2 linked regions of the Oryzias latipes genome follow. The protein of the gene in region 1 interacts with the protein of each later gene in a biochemical or structural test. Links are inferred from orthologs where the notes say so. Each region holds a gene or a part of one and is shown in the gene's direction. Other genes may lie near its edges. The genes, in order: bmpr2 and bmp4.

The links.
Region 2: the proteins of bmpr2 (region 1) and bmp4 form a complex in vitro, tested with the Homo sapiens proteins (2 studies listed by BioGRID). The link is inferred for Oryzias latipes from reciprocal best matches to the Homo sapiens genes BMPR2 and BMP4.

What each region holds. Positions count from the first base shown.
Region 1 is NC_019860.2:15,312,845-15,316,663, forward strand, and holds part of bmpr2 (bone morphogenetic protein receptor type-2), read left to right. Parts: intron 1-971; coding exon 972-1,157; intron 1,158-2,302; coding exon 2,303-2,482; intron 2,483-3,819. UniProt on the Homo sapiens protein: On ligand binding, forms a receptor complex consisting of two type II and two type I transmembrane serine/threonine kinases.
Region 2 is NC_019880.2:7,805,059-7,809,584, forward strand, and holds the start of bmp4 (bone morphogenetic protein 4), read left to right. Parts: upstream 1-1,451; 5' UTR 1,452-1,816; intron 1,817-4,526.

The sequences.
Region 1 (3,819 bases):
ACAGCATCACGCAAAGCTTTGCAGTGTTGTCAATCATTTGAATGTGTAAGGAAATGGAGCCTTTCTGTTCTCTCTGCGAGCATTTCGTCCTTCAGGCTCCAGTCTAAATTGGTTTTTCTATTGATCCTGTGGTTGGTGAGCTGCAGCAGCGTTTGCAGATGGACCGTTGTTTTTTTATCTGCACATTCTTCCTGGGGTTGGCTCAGCGGCACTGCGTCTGTGCCGTGCCAGAGTACAGCGGATGAGTGTATTTGTATCCGCCTTTTTATTATTAATGGCTCTGTTTTTAGCAGCAGAGCGCATTCACAGATACAAACAAAATGCATGTAAGTGACAAAAACCCAACTGGTGTAAAATAACAATTTCATCTACACATCTTTTTGTTTGTGTAACGGCAGTTTTTTTTTTTTTTTTTTTACCCAATTTCCCTCATATCGGCATATCCACCTCTCAGTCTGACATCACTGCTGACAACAAAATCTAGATTTTTCTAACGAAAGTGCCTTAAATATGGTAAAATGTTGATATTTTGCACTGAATTTTTAAGAGAAACTACCCTTTGTACCAGGAAATTGGACAAATGAAGCAGCAAACAACCTGTTGCGCAACACATCCTGTACCACGTCAATTAAAATTCCGCTCTGAAAGTCATTGGAAAGAAAACCTCTAGTTGTTTTCTCCTCCAGTTTAGTTGTTTTTTTTGTTGTTTGTTTTGGTCCCTCACTAAAACATCTTACAATGTTCCTTGGCAATTTTTTTTGGTTTTCACCACCTGGTTATTCGTTTGTACAGTCAAGTCCCAGAAATCTGATCATTCGCCTTTTGCAAGGATTTACTAGAAAAAAACAGCTGGGATAAGACTCTAAAATGATTAATAATTGTGTTTACTTTCGATGCCTAACCACCAACTTTTGGTGAAATCCAACCCAAATTTCTCAAAATTGAATGTTCAACTCTCCTTGTCTTCACAGCGGCGCAAGGCGAGGAGAGGGAGTGTGCCTTCACAGACCAACAGCAGCAGGGGGAGGTGAAGCGCGTGGCCGAAGGCGAAGGCCGGGTGTCCCCAGAGAACACCACCATCCGATGTGCCAAGGGCAGCCACTGCTTCGGGTTGTGGGAGAAGAGTCCTCCCGGCGAAGTGCGGCTGGTCAAACAAGGTATTCTAGTCCTAAAAGTCTGGATTGTGTTCAGATAAAAACACATTTTAGTTCAGAACATTCAGTTGTTTGATGTACATTTGAGAATACCGGCACAAGTTGTATTAGATGTATGCATAATGTGGTCATCTACTGCTAAAACTACTACTACCTTTAGTAACTACCAGCCACTTGGCCCCTATAGGCATTTTGGGTATTGCAGTCATACTACAAATGTCTATGAATTTTTTGTTGTGCCTAATGTAGCCTATAATTTGTTGCGCCGTATGCCGCGGTCACATCAAGCGCGTTCAAGCTTACGTCTACAGCATATAGTGTCCATACTGGACTGTCGGTACTCAATGTCTGTTTTCTTTTTTAATTGTAAAGCGATTCGAGCTGCACAATGTCTGAGAAGCGCTTTTTATGAATAAGATTTGATTTGATTTGATTTGATTTGGTGTCATATGTCAAAGCAGTGCAAATCTCGTGAATCTTGCTCTGGACTTTTTGTTTCACAGCTCTATTCCGATAAATGAAAGGCTCTGTGTGTCAGGATTCCACAAACCGCTAAGATTAATTAGACTGCATGTGAAAAAGCCTCCAATGAGATGAACTTTATTCTTATATATCTATATATCATGCCTATAGCACTAAATTGTTTATAGTATTTCCTTACTTTATGGTGCTTTACTGGTGATTTTATTTTATTTTACTAGTCTATGTTACACTGTCTTTTATGTATGCATGTGGTTTTTATACTTGGACCTGAGTTTGTACATAAATAAATATCTAAACTAAAGGGAGGTGGGGGAAAAACGTATTCAGCTGCCATTTCTACAGAAAAAGTTCGTGATTTTTGTTAAAGTTGCTTAAAAACTCAAAACAAGAATTTTCCCTGCACAAAGCTCTTTTTTAAAATCTAAATCAAAACTCTTGTGTTTTTTTAAATAGTTTATTTAACTTAATCCTATTTTATTTTATGAATAAAGTTTTCAAGCTATATTTAGATAGTGTTGCTCTGTGCATTGGTCAAAATACAATAGACTCCCTTTATCTATTCATCTCAGTAAAAAATAAGTTTCCAGACAAAAAAAAAAGTGATATGCATTGCATCATGGGAGCAGGAAGGAACTAAGCTTTTCCTCTGTTCCCCCCCCCCCCAGGCTGCTGGAGTCATCTGGCCGAACACAACGGTTGCCGCGAGGACCGCTGCGTGGTCACCCACCTGCCACCTCTCATCCAGAATGGGACATACCACTTCTGTTGCTGTGGCAGCGACATGTGCAATGTAAATTTCACAGAGGACTTCCCGACGCCCAGTCCGACCACGGCGCAGCCCATCTGTAAGCAGCCCCACACTTTTGTCTTGTTGTGTGGCGCCTTCGTTCTGTTTTAGGCTTGGTTCCCAATAAAACTGCGATGGAAGCTAGATTTGACCCTTTAAAAACATTAAATTGAATGTTTATGTCACTTCTGCTATGTTTATTTAACTTTGAGGATAAACAATAAGGATAAGTGAACGAAAGAAATAATTTACGGATTGTACGGGTTGGATTATCTTCCCTACTTGTGACGCAACAGCCAACAGGAAGCGGTTTGCGTTGCTGCCTGTCTGTTGTGGTTTTGGAGAGTCGAGGAGTGTGTAACAGGAGTGTTGTTAATTGTTTGTCACGTTTTGAGTGATGAATGAAAGCAGCATGTGTGGCGGGAAGGGTGGGGGTGAGGGTTGGTAGCAAACGCCGGCTCGTCTCGCTTCTCCTGCCGACATGCAAACAAACACACACTCTCCGGCACGCACATTGTCTTTCTGCATTCCAGGGATTTCGCGGCGTCTGCTCTCCGCCTGTCTGCAGGCACGCAGGCGACCGTCTCTCTGTGCAGACAGACGACGGCGGAGTGAAAAAGAAAGGAATTCGCCTTTGATCAGAGCTTGTAAAACTCCCAGTGCATATTGTCCCGGAATATTGGATTTCTTTTCTGAGTCCGACGTGCCCGGGCAGAAACTGGTGTGCGTGATGTGAAGCGGCTGGTGGGAAATGGAGTCATTTGCCAAATGGCTGCCAAATGACTGTTTTGACTGACTGTAAGGCCGGTCTCGTGCAGGCATTGAGCAATGACAGAATCCAAAATAATCTAAACACGAGTACAAGGAGTCAAAGGGCTAGCAGGGATTCTTACAAAGCAAAGAAGGTTGTCGACTGCTGATGAATCTCAAATCTATCGTCTGTATGTCTATGTCCTTTAGGACTACTGTCGTCTTGTTGGCTCTGCTTTCATTGGGTGTTCCAAAAATTAGAAGTTTCAAGTTCCAGGGGAGTTTAAAGATCACTTTTATTCGTGAACCAACAATCATTACTTAAGAACAGAAGATAGGGTCATGTGACTGATTCTGGTTTCTGTGGAGCCGCTGTAGACGCATTTGGGATATTTGGTCGCCGCTATCCTGATAGCATTCAAAGCCACTGGAGTGTCCTAAAGTGGGAGAAAATCTGAGGGTCGTTGAAGCATGCTCAGACAAGATCGTAGATGTTAAGCCTGAAGACAGAGCTTCATTTTCTGCATAACTTCAAAGTCAAACATCCAAACAAATATAGACAAAATAAGTACAGTTAACGTTGGGCTTTAAGAAAAACGAGATTTTTATTGTTAAGTTTAACCATTTGACATAAATGTGCGCACA
Region 2 (4,526 bases), on another chromosome or scaffold:
GAAAATGTATTTTTTGAACTCTGAATTTCATGCCAATGTGTGCAGATCATTGAAAAGACATTCACATGTTGTGAAAAACAACTGCGACAATTTTATAACTTTCAATTTAAAGAGGATTAAAAACTTTCCAAAAGCCACACTGAGAGGTGTGTAAGTGAGCCTCCCTGTGTTTATTTAGCAGATTCTTGTTTATTTGGTTATTTATTATGGTGCAACATTTGTTCGCGCATTAACCAGCAATTATTAGAATTTTGAAAGATAAAAAATGTAATTGAAACAACAATTTCATGCATATCCCTTGTGTAAAATCTGACAAAGAAACAATGTGTGCGTGACGGGTTTCTGCTGAAACCTTGATGGCTTCACTGATGGTGTTGACATGAAATGAAACCAGTTCCGACCCAGTAACAAGAGTCATGCAGGAATTATGTTCTCGAACGTTTGAGACCCGAAGAACGTTCCAGAATGCATTAACTCCAGAGCACAGAGGACAAGAACGTTCCAAGAAAAGCCAATCAGTGTGACTGAAGAGCACATTTAGGCCAAGACAAATAAAATAAATGACTCTTTGATTTTAAATTGTCCATCTAAATATTGAGGTATTACAAAAGAAGATAATTTAAGGTGTGTGGATGTTCAACCATCATTAATTTTCACTTCAAAGTCTTTAAGCTGAGTAAAAATAAGTTTTTTCAGAGCCTTGAACACAAGCCTCTAGCAGACATTTCTGATATTTTTTTGCTATCATTTTTATTTTTACTTGAATGAATAAAAAAATGAAAAAAATAAAAATTTCAAACAATAAATATAAATATAAAACGTTTATCGAATGATGGCTTCTTTAAGTCTCAATTCAGACATTAAGACACGCACTAAAATAAATTATAAATTATATATATAGAAATTATAGCTCAAAATAAACCAAGTTGGGTTTTTTCTTAACCTAACAACGTGGTTCAAAAGGGACTAACTTTTTTCTGGGTTGTTTTAATTCAGAAAATAACAAAAAATATCAGTAAAAAACATTAAAATAATGACCCAAAACATTAGTTTTGATCCAAAACAGTAAACCAGAAATATATTCCAACAGGAAAAACCCCAGAATGGGATAAATAAATAACCCAAGTGAGAGAGCAAGTACCAGGAAAAAGCCTTATTTAATTAATTTTTATTGTTAGATTATTTTACACTATAGCTTATATAATTCAAGAACGTGGTGAAGGTAAAGTTGTTTCACTAGTCTGAACTAAAATATTAATTTTGTCCCCAGTAGTTTAATAATGAAGTTTACTGTTGGAGCTCAACCCTTCAGAGCAGCGTCGTTTTTTTGTAACTATGAATCAAAAAGTTTAAGAAAAAAAAGCGAAACAAACAAAAAAACAAAACAAAAAAAAAACAGGTAAATGAGTGAGGTGTATGCGCTCAAAGTGGGGGCGAATGTCAAACGGGGAGGGGGGAGGGGGGTTATCCAAGGTGTATGGGGAGGTCGGAGACGGAGGAGGAGGAGGAGGAGGCAGGGCGGAGAAATAAAAACTGCGAGGGACCAGAGATGTTTGATCATTTGCGAAGTCTTGTGCGTCCTCCTCACCGCCCGCCCATACAGACTGTTCTGGAGGCTGATAGAAACCCCGCCGCAGAGCGCCGATTGTCCACGGCTCCGTGAGGAGGTGCCACGAAGGGATTAATGAGCCTAAAAAACGCACCAAGTTTCTCATTTAGGCTCATTTGGGCGTTTATTCCTGCGTAAGGCCTGGAGCACTTTTCATTATCTCTTTTTTTTCCTATTGATTTGAGGATACCTGTACCTCTACTGATGGTAAGCGCTCATCCACTGACACCGTCGCGCATGAGTGAGCCACTTTAGATGGAGCAAACCTTTGAAATACCATGCTCAGGAGTCTGGCTTCACCACTCTTAACTTATGTCATGATTTTGCTTCTAGCAGATCACATCACTTCAGTTTTTGTTTTAGAAGAAAAATCCTAAGTTTTAGGACAACGTGAGCGCAAGGCGCGTCAAAGTGAGATAAAAGCGCGCAACCACCAGCCCCGCGATCTCAGCTTTTGGTGCCCTAGACTTAAGCAATGTCAGGATAGTGAGGTCATTTCCAAACAGAGAGTCCGATTTCGTTGCGCTCCATTTTCTGTGGACCAGCAGACACATTTGATTTTCTCTGGGTTTTGTGGCTTTTTTATTTATTTTTTATATTAAGTCCCAAAAAGTGTCTGAATAATTAAACACCTACTTCTTCGTCATGACGCCCAGGTACGAGTAAAACCGCTGGTCGATTGATTCTTCAGATTTGTCCAACGTGATTTAAACTGTTAAAAAAAAGACATTTAGCTTTATATTGATTTGTGCGTAAAACCATGTCCCACTTTGTCTAGTTATGGTATTTGTCAAACTACAAAATAAAAACGTTCATTTTCTTTGTTATATAAAATTAAAACTCATGTTTTAAATGTTTTTTCACCACTGCGTTTGTTGATTTAAAGCCACATTGTGTCGTTTTCGTCCATAAAGCTGCAAAACTGCAACAAAAATGCAACTTGGGGCACATGCCACATCATTTACACATTTCTGTGCATTTCTAAGGAAACCTATAGCCTTCAAATTTGAGCATGGGGACCTTTTTTAAGCACATTAAGAAGATGGTATGCCATATTTAGTGCTTAAATCACTCTTTTTTTTCCTCATTTTTGCAAATCTTTGACCCAGGATCTGACTCCTTAGAAATGATGCATATTTTGCAACAGTTTAAGTGATTGATTTCAGTGCCAGTCAAATCACTTGCCATAATATTTAAGGAAGAGGAAAAACAGGCACACAGCTCATCTTTTACACCATCCTTTGTGCCTTTCAACAAAACTATAAGGCCAACAAAACCGTTAATTTGCTTGGAGTGATCTCACTGACTGTGAATGCATTTTTCAGAAGAGCGAAGGAAAAACAGCAGGCCCTTCTGATTGTTTAAACTCCTTTAGTCTCTGGTAAGTTTAGGTTTATTTTGAAGAAAGCAAACAAGCCATTTTTTATTACTGATCACAAAAACAGTCTGGTTCCTGGGACAGCTGTCATATAGCTGTTTCAGTGCTTACAAGCACCAGCTTCAGAGACTAGAACTGTCTCGCTGAACTTTTTTGCTGCTAGATAAAACGATAAGGTCAGGTGATTTGTCTGTTTCCAAGGCAACCTGCTTCCCTCCAACTTTCTTTCTATTTCTTTCTATCACAACTGTCAAATTCCTTAGAAGACACATCTGAGGAGCCATGTGCAAACTCTGATCACATTATCGCTGGTCAGTTAGAAACAGAAAAAGAAGAAGAGGCAGTTGACTGCTGCGGCCTAATTCCGCTCTGGTCTCCATTTTTTTATTTTCATTTTTGGAAAAAGTGTTCCTGTCTGCTGTTCAGTTTAAAGACTGAGGCCTTTTCTGAAAACGTCTTAATGTGCGGGCTCTGCTTTGCCTTCTCTGGGATTCTGATGAGGGAATGGGACTTACAGGATTTAGTGGAAACTCAAATGTATTTTTATCTCCAAAGTTGAAAACAGGCCAGTGTCTGCTTCGCATCTTCTTTCATCATCATCGCATCACTTTGAGTGTCTGTCTGCTGTAGCCTGCAGCTCTGTCAGTGGCTGGTTACAGTTACAAGATATTCTGTTTGGTCAGTGTTTTTGAGTGCTATGAATCCCTGTAATCATGGGAGAGGCCCTCTCTGTACAATGAACGTTTGTTGTCAGAGATGTTCACGCACAGGCTCACACACTCACTTGCACACACACACACACATCGCAGCACCCCATGGGTAATCGAGCTGATCATGTTCTGAACCCTCCTCTCCCTTCTTTGCCACAGTTCTCACGAATGCGCGAGCTGCGGCACGTGCACGCGAACCGACACATGGATGCGCCGATTCGTTTGTGTGTGCGCACGCCTGCACCTTGGGCCTTTCTTTTTCACACACATTGGATCTAATGTCATGACCGAGAAAGGGGGTGGGGGTCAAGCTGAGGTCAGAGTCTAATGCTGTTCGGAAAAGGGATCCTTGATTGCATGTACAGTGAGCTATTGAGGGGCTGAGTTAATCACACAGATACCAAGCCGGGCATGCTCACACACTGTAAAACACCCATATTTTATGGCCTCACTCTCTTTTACTGCTAATATGCATCCTCTGCGTTGTAATGCTTGGGTGCTCTCCAGCTCAACAAACGATGCCCTACAGTTGGCGTGGTCACTCTGAAACTCAGTAATTTTATTAGTGTGATTCAGCAACGTTTAGCCCTCCAAGTGTCGTGTTCAAATTCAACCATTAGAGCTGTATGACGAGGCTTGTTAAACATGTCTTAGAAGTAGTAAAGTGGTGAGTAGTCTTTTCCTTCTGTTTTATTTAAGTAGGCACCAATTTATCTAATATAATTGCTATGAACTTATTAATTGAATCAGAATTTAGGACTCAAAAAGCTGCAGAATAAAAAAAAAATCTCAACTTCAACAAGAAATAAAGTTACTTTAATTTGGGCGA